Linked DNA regions of Anolis sagrei. The protein of the gene in region 2 binds, or shares a complex with, the protein of the main gene of each other region. Links are inferred from orthologs where the notes say so. Each region holds a gene or a part of one and is shown on either strand. Other genes may lie near its edges.

The links. The genes of interacting proteins can lie anywhere in the genome.
Region 1: ITPR1 (region 2) and PRKG1 share a complex: the UniProt entries of both Homo sapiens proteins name them as parts of the cGMP kinase signaling complex. The link is inferred for Anolis sagrei from reciprocal best matches to the Homo sapiens genes ITPR1 and PRKG1.

The regions. Positions count from the first base shown.
Region 1 is NC_090023.1:181,873,667-181,881,445, forward strand, and holds the start of PRKG1 (cGMP-dependent protein kinase 1), read right to left. Parts: upstream 4,698-7,779; 5' UTR 4,383-4,697; coding exon 4,012-4,382; intron 1-4,011. UniProt on the Homo sapiens protein: Serine/threonine protein kinase that acts as a key mediator of the nitric oxide (NO)/cGMP signaling pathway. GMP binding activates PRKG1, which phosphorylates serines and threonines on many cellular proteins.
Region 2 is NC_090022.1:45,933,004-45,940,782, reverse strand, and holds the start of ITPR1 (inositol 1,4,5-trisphosphate-gated calcium channel ITPR1), read right to left. Parts: upstream 4,210-7,779; 5' UTR 3,835-4,209; intron 1-3,834. UniProt on the Homo sapiens protein: Inositol 1,4,5-trisphosphate-gated calcium channel that, upon inositol 1,4,5-trisphosphate binding, mediates calcium release from the endoplasmic reticulum (ER).

The sequences.
Region 1 (7,779 bases), on a different chromosome or scaffold from region 2:
CTTTATACTAGGATCTGATTCCAGATTATCTGGCAGTTTAGACTCATATAATCCAGTCCAAAGCATATATTCTGGGTTCAGATCCTGGGATATAGGGTAGGATCCAGCCTCACTGTACGTGTGTAGAAAGAGTTCCTTCTAAGGAATGTTTTTTTTTTTTTTGTAAAATATTGTAAGGAATCTTTAAATCAAGGTATCCCTAGTCTCCCTGTGTAAAGTACTGCAAAAGGGCAGAGACAGAGAGGCCCCTTCCACACTGCCTTATATCCCAGGATCTGCTCCCAGATTATCTCCTTATCTCAGATTATTTGGCAGTGTAGACTCATATAATCCAGTCCAAAACATATGCTCTGGGACCAGATCCTGGGATATAAGGCAGTGTAGATTCAGCCTCACTGTGTGTGTAAGGAAAGAGGTGGGCAAGAGTTCCTTCTAAGGGATATTTTTTGTAAAATACTGTAAAGAATCTTTTGTAAGGCAAGATACCCTTAGTGTCCTGCAAAAGGAAAGAGAGAAGCCACTTCCATACTGCCCTTCATCCCAGGATCCGTTCCAAGATTATCTGACAGTGTAGACTCCTATAAGGTAAAGGCTTCCCCAGACTTTGTCTAGTCACATCCGACTCTGGGGGTAATGCTCATCCCCATTTCTAAGCCAAAGAGCCAGCATTGTCCGTAGACGCCTCCAAGGTCATGTGGCCAGCATGACTGCACGGAGTGCTGTTATCTATTGATCTAGTCACATTTGCATATTTTCAAACTGCTAGGTTGGCAGAGGCTGGGGCTAACAGCAGGAGCTCACCCCATCCCGAGGATTCAAACCACCAACCTTTCGGTCAGCAAGTTCAGCAGCTCAGTGGTTTAACCCACTGCGCCACCAGGAGGCATTTAGACTCATATAACCCAGTTCTAAGCATATACTCTGGGACCATATCCTGGAATATAACGCAGTGTAGATCCAGCCTCACTGTGTGTGTGTGTTTGTTTGGTTGTGTGTATTTATATATATACACATACATACAAAGAGGTGTCCAAGAGTTCCTTCTAAGGAATGTTTATAAAATATTGTAAGGAATCTTTTGTAAGTCAAGGTACCCCAAGTCACCCTATGTGTGGGACTACAAAAGGGCCAAGAGAGAGGACACTGCCCTATATCCCAGGATCTGATCCCAGATTATCTGGGAGCATAGACTCATATAACCAAGTCCAAAGCAAATACTCTGGCATAAGATCCCGGGATATAGGGCAGTGTAGCTCCAGCCTCTCTCTGTGCGTGTGTAGAGAGAGGGGGGAAGGGTGGCCAAGAGTTCCTTCTATGGAATAGTTTTGTTTGTAAAATCTTGTAAGGAATTCTTTGTAAATCAAGGTACCCCCAAGTCTCCCTATGAGTGGGACTGCAAAAGAGCACTGCACTATATCTCAGGATTTGACTTCAGATTATTTGGCTGTGTAGACTCATATAACCTGGCCCAAAGCATATACGTTGGGATCAGATCCTGGGATATAGGACAGTGTAGATCCAGCCTCATTTTGTGTGTAGAGGGGGGGGGGGGGGGATGGCTAAGACTTCCTTCTAAAAATAAGGGGTTTTTTTTTTTGTAAAATACTAAAATTGGCTAAAAGGTCCTTCTAAGGCAGTGGTTCTCAACCTGGGGTCCCCAGATGTTTTTGGCCTTCAACTCCCAGAAATCCTAATAGCTGGTAAACTGGCTGAGATTTCTGGGAGTTGTAGGCCAAAAACATCTGGGGACCCCAGGTTGAGAACCACTGCTCTAAGGAATAGTTTTTTGTTTTGTTTTGTTTTTTGCAAAATATTGTAAGGAATCCTTTGTAAATCAAGGTACCCTCAAGTCTCCCTATGTGTGGCACTGCAAAAGGGCACACTGGACTATATCTCAGGATCTGACTTCAGATTATCTGACTGTGTAGACTCACATAATCCTGTCCAAAGCATATACTTTGGGATCAGATCCTGGAATATAGGGCAGTGTAGATCCAGCCTCACTCTGTGTAGAGAGAGAGAGAGAGAGAGAGAGGAGGAGAGGGGTGGCCAAGAGTTCCTTCTATGGAATAGTTTTGTTTGTAAAATATTGTAAGGAATCCTTTGTAAATCAAGGTACCCCCAAGTCTCCCTATGCGTGGGACTGCAAAAGCGCACTGGACTATATCTCAAGATCTGACTTCAGATTATCTGGCTGTGTAGACTCATATAATCCAGTTCAAAGCATATACTGAGATATAGGGCAGTAGATCTCCCTATGTGTGGGACTGCAAAAGGGCACTGCACTATATCTCAGGATCTGACTTCAGATTATCTGGCTGCAGGGGCGGCTCATCCATTACGCGAAGTAAGCGGTCGCAGAACACTTTTTTTTGCCAGGGGCGCCGAGGCACCTCTGTAAATGCCCCTCGACCACCACTTGAGGAGCACCCCCTCAGCTCACAACAGCCATAGCAGTCCGGGGGGAGCCTCGGCTTTCTTGCCTCACTGCTGGGAGATCCTCATCCCAAAGGGGCCGGGCCCTTGACCCTCGCCTCGCCCTGCTCGTTCCTGCTCCACCCGGCTACCGGATGCATGAGCAGCGCCGGCGCTCAATCATTCTCCGCGTTCGATCCCTTCCCCATGACCGGCTCCCTTTCCCGATCCCCCAGCGCTCCACTCGCCTCCTCTCCTCTCCCCAATCCGTGGGTGGGCCAAGGGGGGGAGCCGCCGCACCTGGCCCGCTTTGGGTCCGGAGGCGTGTCTGAAGACCCCAGCATGTGCACCAAAAGTTGCCTCTTCTCCTGACTTTCTCTTTAGCCATTGGGACCAAGAGAGAGAGAGAGAGAGAGAGAGAGAGAGCCCCTCCGGCTGGAGGTATCTCCCACCTCTGCTTCCTCCTTTGTTTTTGCGCCTACTTTCAGGAAAGGTGGGCATCTCCACCTCTCTCTCTCTCTCTCTCTCTCTCTTGGTCCCAATGGCTGAGGAGAAAGTCAGGAGAAGAGGTGACTTTTGGTGCACACGCTGGGGTCTTCAGGCACGCCTCCGGACCCAAAGCGGGCCAGGCAAGGGAGCAAGTGCAGCAAGTGTAGTTACTGGGATGTATAGTTCACCTACAATCAAAGAGCATTCTGAACTCCACCAATGATGGGATTGAACCAAATATGGCACGCTGAACTCCCATGACAAACAGAAAATATATATCAATGCTTGGTTGGGGGGGGGGGGCGCCAAAATACTGTTTGCTTACCGTTGAAAATTACCTAGGGCCGCCTCTGTCTGGCTGTGTAGACTCATATAATCCCGTCCAAAGCATATACTTTGGGATCAGATCCTGGGATATAGGGCAGTGTAGATCCAGCCTCACTGTGTGTGTGTGTGTGTGTAGAGAGAGAGAAGGGAAGGGTAGCCAAGAGTTCCTTCTATGGAATAGTTTTGATTGTAAAATATTGTAAGGAATCCTTTGTAAATCAAGGGACCCCCGAGTCTCCCTATGAGTGGGACTGCAAAGAGCACTGCACTATATCTCAGGATTTGACTTCAGATTATCTGGCTTTAAAGACTCATATAATCCAGTCCAAAGCATATACTGAGATATAGGGCAGTGTAGATCTCCCTATGTGTGGGACTGCAAAAGGGCACTGCACTATATCTCAGGATCTGACTTCAGATTATCTGGCTGTGTAGACTCATATAATCCAGTCCAAAGCATATACTGAGATATAGGGCAGTGTAGATCTCCCTATGTGTGGGACTGCAAAAGGGCACTGCACTATATCTCAGGATCTGACTTCAGATTATCTGGCTGTGTAGACTCATATAATCCCGTCCAAAGCATATACTTTGGGATGAGATCCTGGTATACAGGGCAGTGTAGATCCAGCTGTGTGCGCCTGAAGGTGGCTCTGGGGAATGTGGGCGCAAAGTGATTGTAGAGGAAGGAGAGATGGGGGGGAAGCCAGACAAGACACAGACACAGAGAGAGACACACAGAGACAGAGACAGGGACCCCTCGAGGCGGTGGGTGCTTACTGCGGGCTCTTGGGGTAGAAGGGCAGGGTGACGTGGCTGAGGTCCTGGAGGTCGAAGGCGGTGGGCTCGGCGGAGATGGCCTGCCGCTTGGTCCGCTGCTCGCCCCCTCCTCCTCCGCTTCCTCCTCCTCCTCCTCCACCCCCACCGCCTCCTCCTCCTCCCCCGGGCAGGGCTCCAGCGGCCCCCTGGTGCGCCTGCTGGGTGGCCGGCCGGATCACGGAGCGGTACTTGTCCAGCTCGTTCTGGAGCCGCTGGATGAGCTCGTCCTTCTGGTCCAGCTCCAGCTCCAGCTCGTCGATGAGCGCGTCCCGCTGGCGGAGCTCCTCGATCTTCTCTTGCAAGGCGTACTGCAAATCCCGCAGCGTCCCCATCCTCGAAGGGAGCCGCCAACGCCGCCGCCGCCGACGGAGCCACCTCTCCCCCTCCGCCTCGTCCCACTTCGCGCCAACTTTGCCTGTTGGACTGTTGCTGCTACTCGCCGCTTCCTAGGGGAAGGGAGCCCCCATCCTGGGGAGAAGCCCACCACCCTCCTCCTCCTCCTCCTCCTCTCCGCCTGCTTGCCTGCGTCAGGCCACCAGACTGGAGAGAGACGGAGAGTGAGGAGGGAGCGCGAGGGGCGTCTGCAGCATGCCGCCGCTTTCTCTCTCCCTCCGCCGCCGCCGCCGCCGTTCCGCTATCCCGCCCGCGCCCCCGCCTCTCTTCTTCTTTCTCCTCCTCCTTCTCCTCAGCTGTTACGGCCGCCCCTCTTTCTCCCACCCCCCTTCTCCTCCTTCCTCCGCACAACTCAGCCTCGTAAGAAGAAGAAAAAGGAGGGAGAGGGCTGCATTCCGGGCGCCTTCCTGGCCCCCCAAAGACGGCGCGCGCCGCTTGTTGTGTTGCGTGTTTTCCCGCCGAAGCACGCGCTCTCTTCCGTCTCAGAGGAGAGAGAGAGATCAACCCTTGGAGAGTTCGAAGCGCGCGCGCGCTCGCTCGCGGTGGGGGGGGGAGGGGGAGAGGAGGCGCGGGGGCTTCTTTCCCTCTTCCCAGTCTTCTCTGACAGACTTTAATTTTTGGCGGGAAGTCGGCTTGAGCGCCTCACAAACAGTCCAAAAAACATACACACAACAGAACGTGCGTTAGCTGTCAAGCACAGGTGTCTTTCAACCACTCTGGCCCCGCCAATGGGCGCCTCTTCTTTGCAGAATTAGCTGTCCAGCACAGGTCCTGCCAATGGGTGCCCTAGTTCGATGCTATTGACAAACTGGTGGCCCTTCCACTCAGGGCCCTTCCACACAGCCCTTTATCCCAGGATATCAAGGCAGATAATCCCACATTAGGTTGTTGTAGGTTTTTTCGGGCTATAAGGCCATGTTTTAGAGGCATTCTCTCCTGACGTTGCACCTGCAGGTGCTTGTGGATTTCAATGGCTTCTCTGTGTAGTCTGACATGGTGGTTGTTAGCGTGGTCCAGCATTTCTGTGTTCTCAAATAATATGCTGTGTCCAGGCTTCCAACTCTCCAAGGCACTGCAGACTACTTCAACCAGAGAAGTCAGCCATAGCAGAGCACCTGATGAACAACCTGGACACAGCATATTATTTGAGAACACAGAAATGCTGGACCACTCTCACAACCACCATGTCAGACTACACAGAGAAGCCATTGAAATCCACAAGTGTGTGGACAATTTCAACAGAAATGAGGAAACCATGAAAATGAACAAAATGTGGCTACCAGTATTAAAAAAAAACTCTAAAATTAGAACAGCACAACAACAGAGAGGAAACAAACAAGGACATCTAATCACCTCTCAACAAAAGATTGCCTCAGTCATTGACAGGCCATCAAATGCTAATCAAGGTGCTCAGTTGAAACATTCACACCTAGCTCCAACAGACAAGAGTTCTTTGTCCCACCCTGGTCATTCCACAGATACATAAACCCACTTCCCTAGTTCCAACAGACCTCACTACCTCTGAGGATGCTTGCCATAGATGCAGGCGAAATGTCAGGAGAGAATGCCTCTAGAACATGGCCATATAGCCCGAAAAAACCTACAACAACCCAGTGATTCCAGCCATGAAAGCCTTCGACAATAAATCCCACATTATCCTAGTGTGGAATCAGATGTTGTTGTTGTTGTTCATTCGTTCAGTCGTTTCCGACTCTATGTGACCTCATGGACCAGCCCACACCAGAGCTCCCTGTCTGCTATCAACACCCCCAGCTACTTCAATGTCAAGCCAGTCACTTCAAGGATACAATCCATCCATCTTGCCCTTTGTTGGCCCCTCTTCCCTTTTCCTTCCATTTTCCCCAGCATAATTGTCTTCTCCAAGCTTTCCTTTCTTCTCACGATGTGGCCAAAGTACTTCATCTTTGCCTCTACTATCCTTCTCTCCAATGAGCGGTCGGGCTTTATTTCCTGAAGTATGGACTGGTTGGATCTTCTTGCGATCCAAGGCACTCTCAGAACTTTCCTCCAACACCACAGTTCAAAAGCATCTATCTTCTTTTGCTCAGCCTTCCCTATCGTCCAGCTCTCACATCCATGGGTGACAATGGGGAATACCATTGCTTTAACTATGCAGATCTTTGTTGCCAGTGTGATGTCTCTGTTCTTCACTATTTTATCAAGATTGGTCATTGCTCTCCTCCTAAGAAGTAAGCGTCTTCTGATTCCTGGCTGCAGTCTGCGTCTGCAGTAATATCTGCACCTAGAAATACAAAATCTGTTGCTGCCTCCACATTTTCTCCCTCTATTTCCCAGTTGTCAATCATTCTTGTTGCCATAATCTTGGTTTTTTTTTTTAATGTTTAGCTGTCACCCAGCTTTTGCGCTTTATTCTTTCACCTTGGTTAGAAGGCTACTCAGCTCCTCCTCGCTTTCGGCCATCAGAGTGGTGTCATCTGTATATCTAAGGTTGTTAATGTTTCTTCCAGCAATTTTCACCCCAGCTTTGCATTCCTCAAGCCCCGCACGTCGCATGATGTGTTCTGCATACAAGTTGAATAGGTTGGGTGAGAGTATGCAGCCTTGCCGTACGCCTTTCCCAATCTTGAACCAGTCTGTTGTTCCATGGCCAGTTCTTACTATTGCTACTTGGTCCTTATACAGATTCCTCAGGAGACAGACAAGGTGATTTGGTATTCCCATATCACCAAGAACTTGCCACAATATATGGCAGTGTGGAATCAGATAACCCAGTTCAAAGCAGATATTGTGGGATTTCCTGCCTTGATATCCTGGGATATATGGCTGTGTGGAAGGGCTCTCAGTCATATAACCCAGAATATCAAGGCAGATAATCCCATAATATTTGCTTCAAACTGGGTTATCCGAGTCCACACAGCCATATAATAAAACAGAAGATCAAGGCAGATAATCCACAATATCCACTTTAAATTGGGTTATCTGAGTCCACGCAGCTATATAATACAGGGCCTTTCCACACAGCAATATAACCCAGAATATCAAGACAGAAAATCTCACAGTGTCTGCTTTGAACTGAATTATCTGTGTCCACGTTGCCATATATTCCAGTTCAAAGCAGAAGATTTGGGATTTTATTCAGCTGTATGGATTTTCTGCCTTGATATTCTGAGTTATATGGCTGTGTGGAAAGGCCCCCAGAATATCAAGGCAGATAATCCGTAATACATGCTTTGAACTGGGCTATCTGGCTCCACACTGTCATTTAATCTACCTCAATGTGGATTTTATAAGGTTATGTGGAAGGGGCCTGGGTGTTGTCATTTTTGCAAGTTCTTCTGAGCATTCTCTACCCTC
Region 2 (7,779 bases):
ACCTCTTCCTTTGTTCACATGGTTAACATGCAAAGGGAGAGAAAACAAAGAGCTCTCTTTTCTCTCTTATATAATGGTGTACCTCTCCTTCGGACCCTTCCAAGAGTCATCTCTATAACCTCCACAAGATATTCATGTACATAGTTTGCTTTTGCGAAAGCACTATAGACACCCTTTATTTTGTCCTTCATAAGGAAGTTTTGGAACAGTGTTTCCCACATGTTGATCTTCCAGGTGCTTTGGCTGCATCTATGCTGTAAATATAACGCAGTTTGACACCACTTTGTCTTCCATGGCTCAATACTATGGAATCCTAGGAGGTGATACAATGGCTTCAAACTACAGGAAAGGAGATTCCACCTGAACATTAGAACTTCCTAACTGTGAGAGGTGTTCAGCAGTGGAACTCTCTGCCCTGGACTGTGTTGAAGGCTCCTTCTTTAGAGGTTTTTAAAGAGGCTGGATGGTCATCTGTCAGGGATGCTTCAAATGCTATTTTCCTGCTTCTTGGCAGGGGGGTTGGACTGAATGGCCCATGAGGTCTCTTCCAACTCTATGATTCTATGAATTGTTGGAATTGTGGTCTTAGAAGCCCCTTTAGCCTTCTCTGCCAAAAAGTGCCTGCTATTAAAACTCCCATGATTCCATAACATTTGAGCCATAGCAGTTAAAATGGTGTCAAACTGTATTATTTCTACAGTGTAGAGATGCACCCTTCCACTTCCCATATTCTTTAGAGGACCAGAGCTTGAGAATCATTACTCTGGCAGATTAAAAAAAAATGTCACCCCTTTCATCATATTAACTCTGATCTCCTAAATCCCTCAACTCAATCCATCAACTCAATTTCAAAGGGAGTTTTAAAAATATGTAATTCATTTTCTGGTAACTACTTTTCGCTTGCATCAACACTGTAGAACCAATGCAGTTTGGCACCTCTTTTAACTGTGGTGGCTCAATACCACAGAATCCTGGGACTTGTATTTTTCACAAATGGTTTAGTTTGGTGTCTCATCAAACTCAAATTCCCAGGACTCCATAGCATTGATCCTTAGCAGTTCAAGTGGAGCAGAAATGCATTAATTCTCCAATGTAGATAAGGCATGGGCCAACTTGGGCCCTCCAGGTGTTTTGGACTTCAACTCCCACCATTCCTAACAGCCTCAGTCCCTTTGCTTTTCCCTCTCAGCCACTTAAGTATGCTAGAATGTTGAGGCTGGCCAATAAAAAACCATATGCAAATGAGTAGGTCGAGATAGCTCATGCATGGGCCAACTTGGGCCCTCCTGGTGTTTTGGACTTCAACTCCCACCATTCCTAACAGCCTCAGGCCCCTTCCTTTTCCTGCTCAGCCACTTAAGAAAGTTAGAATGTTGAGGATCGCCAATCAGAAACCATATGCAAATTAGTAGATTGAGATAGCTCATGAATGGGCCAACTTGGGCCCTCCAGGTGTTTTGGACTCCAACTCCCACCATTCCTAACAGCCTCAGGCCCCTTCCTTTTGCTGCTCAGCCACTTAAGCCTGTTAGAATGTTGAAACTGGCTAATCAGAAACCATATGCAAATGAGTAGGTCGAGATAGCTCATGCATGGGCCAACTTGGGCCTTCCAGGTGTTTTGGACTCCAACTCCCCCCATTCCTCACAGCCTCAGGCCCCTTCCTTTCCCCCCTCAGCCACTTAAGTATGCTAGAATGTTGAGGCTGGCCAGTCAGAAAGCATATGCAAATGAGTATGTCAAAATAGCACATGCATGGGCCAACTTGGGAATTGTGGAAGCTGAAGTCCAAAACACCTGGAGGGCCCAAGTTAACCCATGCCTGGTGTAGATGCACCCTGAGCCACCCTTCCACAGGCATCCTTTTTCCACACTGGCCGGAGCCAAGGGGCTGTCTGCTTTCTCCGGCTCCATTTGAAACAAAAGCAATTGAGTTAATAACTTTGAAATGCCTGTCGCGGCCCCAGATGTCAAAAGTTTGCTGCCAAGGAACGCAACCTGGCAAGAAAGCAAACCCTGGCGCTGTTGCTCCTGCTTAAGATGTCAAGGGAAACCCAAGGGAAGAGGGGATGTCTCTGTAACCAGACTATTCAGACCTACCTGTTGGGCAGAACCATCTGTGGCTTAATCCCTTTTTTGACTTTCCCTCTTTCCCCAGAAAAAAAACCCCAACTCACATCCTCCTTAAATGGCTTTTTATAGTTTGCTGCATCAAAGCCATGAAGTTGTTGTTTTTTTGAGCCAGTTAAGGACATCTTTCCCTTCCAAAAATAATGAACAATAACAATCCAAGATCGCCTTTCAAGTCTCCCTGCAGCTACAAATGCTTTCTTGTTAATAATAATAATAATAATAATAATAGATTTAAACTTTATTTATTTATACCCCAGAAGGACCTGGGACAGCTTACAAAGCACTCAAAGGTGCAACACATAAAATACAAAAAAAGATGCAGAAACAGTAACATAAAACAGTAACAGCAAACAAACTGTTGCAAACTTAGGGCGGGGATTGAACAGAGACAGAAAAATAAAGAAAAATCTGTTGCTGCTTTCTTTTCTTTACTTCCAAAATAATAATAAATAAACACCCTACAAATCCTTGCTGCAGAAACAGGCATCTGGGTGATCTGGTAAGAAAGGGAAGGCACACAAACCAATATGGGTTTTTAATGGACACAGCTAGTGCATCTACACTGTAGGATCGATGCAGTTTGACTCCAATTCAACTGCCATGGCTCATTGCTATGGGATCCTGGGAGTTATAGTTTGGAGGGGCAACAAGAATCTTTGGCAAAGGGGGAGAAAGTAAAACTACAACTCCCACGGCAGTATGAAGTGGTGCAGAACTGCATTAATTCAACAGTGTAGATGCACTACCACCACTCAGGATCCGATAATACTACCGGGCCATTGAAGTTAAAGCGACCACAAATTAATTCTACGCTGTGTACATCAGGCATGGGCCAACTTGGGCCCTCCAGGTGTTTTAGACTTCAACTCCCACAATTCCTAACAGCCATAGGCTGTTAGGAATTGTGGGAGTTGAAGTCCAAAACACCTGGAGGATCCAAGTTGGCCCATGCCTGGTGTAGATGCACCCCTTATAACACTATACATCCCAGGATCCCATAGTATAGATACAGCCATGGCACCTAAAGTAGTATTTACTTAACTGTATTCATCCTACAATACAGATGCAAAATTACAAATCCCAGGATTTCACAGCATTGAGCCATGACAGTTCCAACTGGTGTCAAACTGCTCTAATCCACAGTGTAGATGTCCCACAAACCCCAGTTGAACCACAGAAATTAAATTGGTATCAAAGTGCACTAATTCCTCAGTGTAAATGCCCCACAAACCCAGGATCCCATAGTGTTGAACCATAGAAGTTAAAGTGATATCAAAGTGCACTAATCCCACAGTGTAGATGCTCCACAAACACCAGGATTCCGTAGTGTTGAACCATAGAAGTTAAAGTGGTATCAAACTGCACTAATCCCACAGATGCTCCACAAACCCAAAGATCCCATAGTATTGAACCATAGAAGTAAAAGCGGCATAAGACTGCAATAATTCCAGTGTAGATGCTCCACAAACCCCAGGATTCCGTAGTGTTGAACCATATAAGTTAAAGCGGTATCAAACTGCATTTTCCCACAGTGTAGATGCACCACAAACCTCAGGATCCTATAGCATTGAGCCATGACAGTTAAAGCGGTATCAATCTGCGCTAACTCCACAGTGTAGATGCACCATAAGCCAGAGCTACATCCTCTGTGAGGAGAGAAAACACCCCATCCTCATTTCCTCTCCCACCCTATTGCTTTACCTGGTTGCATAAGGGACTCCTCTTAAATCCTGGGGTGACTGATCAGCCTCTTGGTAATCCCATATTCCCCTTTTCGGCCCCTGCCCGGTTCCGCCAGGGATGGAGGTTGCTCAGCCAGCCTCCCTTTGCCTCTGCCAAACACCCTGCTAGCTCAACATCCACATGGTTACTGCACTTCGCCAGCTCCCTGCAGCTGATTATATACTCCCGACAGGCTCCCTGGGCAATGTAGTCCGGGCCGGCCCGCTCCCCCGCCCGCTCTCGCGGATGGAACGCCGCGGGGGGACTACAGCTCCCAGCATGCACCGGGCTCTCAGGGTGGGCTGCTTCAGAGTCTCGGCGAGCGGGGCAGCAGCGTCTCTTCTTCTTCTTCTTCTGCGTGAGTGTGTATCAGATCAAAAGGAATGTTGTCTCTCGAACGCCGAAGTTCTTTCTGGGGCGCTGATTGGCCGAGAGGAGCCTTTTCTCCCTGCCGTCAACCAATCCCCGGCGGGCAAAGGCTCCCCCCTTCTACATTCCAATATTAACATAAATAAATAAATAAAAGGAGTGGAGAAGATCCTCCCTTGCGCCCCCCCCCCCACCTTTTGTTTTATATTCATTCAAAGAGACATTTATTTGGGAGCTTTCTCTCAAGACTTTTTTTATATATAGACTGACAACTCCTCATCCCTCCCCCGCTTCCTTGCACAAGCCAAGAATTTCAACCATCTGTGAGTGTTTGCAGTACGAGGCAGCACACATGAGTAATATGCATCGAAACCCCGTTGTGATTGTGTATCTGTGTGTGTATTTTTAAAAAGGAATGACAACAGAAAGCCAAATCGTTGACCTCAGGGTCGACCAGAGAGAAAAAAAGTGAGAGAATTGTGTAGGAAGTTAGATACAGATACAGCTTGAGGATCCCTCATCTGAAACTTTGGGGACCAGAAGTGTTTGGGATTTTATTCTTGGTTGCTCTATAGGGTTTTCATTATTTTAATTGTTTTGCTTGCTTTAAGTGATTGAATTAAAGATATATAAAGTATGTATATATTGTAGCTCTTAAATTGCTGGATGGTCATCTGTCGGGGGTGCTTTGAATGCAATTTTCCTCTTTCTTGGCAGGAGGTTGGACTGGATGGCCTCTTCCAATTCTATGATTCTATGAGTCTACAATTGCATTGGGTTGCTGTGAGTTTTCTGAGGTGTATGGCCACGTTCCAGAAGCATTCTCTCCTAATGTTTTGCCTACATCTATGGCAGGCAAGCCTGTAGCCGGGGGGGGGGGGGGTAGGGGTTCAAACCCCCCCCCCCCCCGAAAATTTTCAGGTTTAAAAAAAACCTGGTTTGCTCATGAATTTTAACTGGTTAACCAAATCCCCATGCTAAGTCTATGAGATGCAAAAAATTAAGAGTCCCTCCAGAACTGCAAGCACTCTCTCAAGCAAATATCGACAATTTATTCACACTGTCATTACTTGCAGCAATAGCCCATGTAGTGAAGCAACCAAGTTGGGGGGGGGTGATGAAAGCTCTCATCAAGGAGGCCAGACTTGGTGGAGGTGGTTGACAGGGGCGGAGCTGCAGGCTATTGAAGGCTGTTCTGCCCCCCGCTGTGCTCTTGGCTTCAGCATGAGTTGGAGGCAGGTTTCAACCCCCCCCCCCCCAAATTTTCAAAAACCCTCCCTGAAATTTCAACCCTCCCCGAAATTTTTTTTCTGGCTACGGCCCTGATGGCAGGCATCCTCCGAGGTTGTGAAGTCTGCTGGAAATTAGGCAAGTGGGGTTTATATATCTATGGAGTTATTTCTCCCACCCTGGACATTCCACTTGCCTAGTTTCCAAAAAACCTCACAACCTCTGAGGATGCCTGCTGCTATAGATGTGGGTGAAACATCAATAGAGAATGCTTCTAGAACATGGCCATATACCCCGCAAAACTGACAGCAATAGTGATTCTGGCCATGAAAGCCTTCGACAACACATTGCATTGTTTTTAATGTTGCAAACCACTTTGGGTCTCAACCAAGGGTTCATCTACATTGTAGAATTAGTGCAGTTTAACAGCACTTAACCACCATGAATCAATGCTATAGTATCTTGGGATTTGTAGTATGGTAAGTCACAAGCACTATGACAAAGAAGACTAACATTTTGTAAAACTACCACTCCCGTTGATTCCATAGCATTGGGCAGATAAAGTGGTGTCAAACTCAATTCATTCTACGGTGTAGATAAAAGTATTAAATATGATGGATTAGATCACTCTTTGGTTTGATCTAGCTTAGCTCTTCTTATGAGGTATTGGAATAAACACTCCCATCCTGCCAGAAAGGCATGGGAACAATTCTGCGGCCTCTCTATCTTATGCTTGCCAGCAATTGATGTGCAAATACCTAATGCTTTCAATACTGGAACCACTGGTGGATTTCTCATCTGATCTTCCAAGAATCTGTCACTTTTTAAACTCTCTCTGGCAGTGGCTATCTATAACAAATGCTTTTTAAAATATACAGGTTGAATATCCCTCATCTGAAATGCTTGGGACCAGAAATGCTTTGGATATGGGACTTTTTTTTCCCAGATATCTGTATTGGCATATATGCTTATTGGGAGATGTCTTGGAGATGAGGACTCATGTTTAAACATGAAATTTGTTTGTGTTTCATATGCATATGTATAATAACTAAGTAGCAACACTAAGAACAGACCACGAAACAACAGACTGGTTCAAGATTGGGAAAGGAGTACGGCAAGGTTGTATACTCTCACCCACATCATGCAATGTGCAGGGCTTGATGAATCCAAGGCTGGAGTTAAAATTGCTGGAAGAAACATTAACAACCTCAGATATGCAAATGATACCACTTTGATGTCTGAAAGCGAGGAGGAGTTGAGGAGCCTTCTAATCAAGGTGAAAGAAGAAAGTGCAAAAGCTGGGTTGCAGTTAAACATTAAAAAAAACTGAGATTATGACAACCAGACTGATTGGTAACTGGCAAATAGAGGGAGAAAACAAGGAGGCAGTGGCAGACTTGGTATTTCTAGACACAAAGATTATTGCAGACACAGACTTCATCCAGGAAATCAGAAGACACTTACTTCTTGGGAGGAGAGCAATGACCAATCTCTATAAAATAGTTAAGAATAGAGACATCAGACTGGCAACAAAGATCCACATAGTTAAAGCAATAGTATTACCTGTGGTAACTTATGGATGCAAGAGCTGGAGCATAAGGAAGGCTAAGTGAAGGAAGATAGACGCTTTTGAACTGTGGTGCTGGAGGAAAGTTCTGAGAGTGCCTCGGACCGCAAGAAGATCCAACCAGTCCATACATCAGGAAATAAAGCCCGACTACTCATTGGAGGGAAGGATAATAGAGGCAAAAATAAACTACATATTTATTTTTGGCCACATATTGATATTATTGGCCACATATTGATAATACAGGAAAACTTGGAGAAGATAATGATGCTGGGGAAAATGGAAGGAAAGAGAGGCCGACCAAGAGCAAGATGGATGGATGGTATCCTTGCAGTGACTGGCATGTCCTTGAAGCTGGGGGTGGCGACGGTCAACAGGGAGCTCTGGCGTGGGCTGGTCTATGAGGTCATGAATTACAGAATCATAGAGTTGGAAGAGACCTCATGGGCCATCCAGTCCAATCCCTGCCAAGAAGCAGGAAAATTGTGTTCAAAGCACCCCCAACAGATGGCCATATAGCCTCTGTTTAAAAGTCTCCATAGAAGGAGCCTCCACCACAATTCGGGGTAGAGAGTTCCACTGCTGAACAGCTCTCACAGTCAGAAAGTTCAGGTGGAATCTCCTTTCTTGTAGTGTGAAGCCATTGCTCCGCATCTTAGTCTCCAGGGCAGCAGAAAACTTGCTCCCTCCTCCCTGTGACTTCCCCTCACATATTTATACATGGCTATCATGTCTCCTCTCAGCCTTCTCTTCTTCAG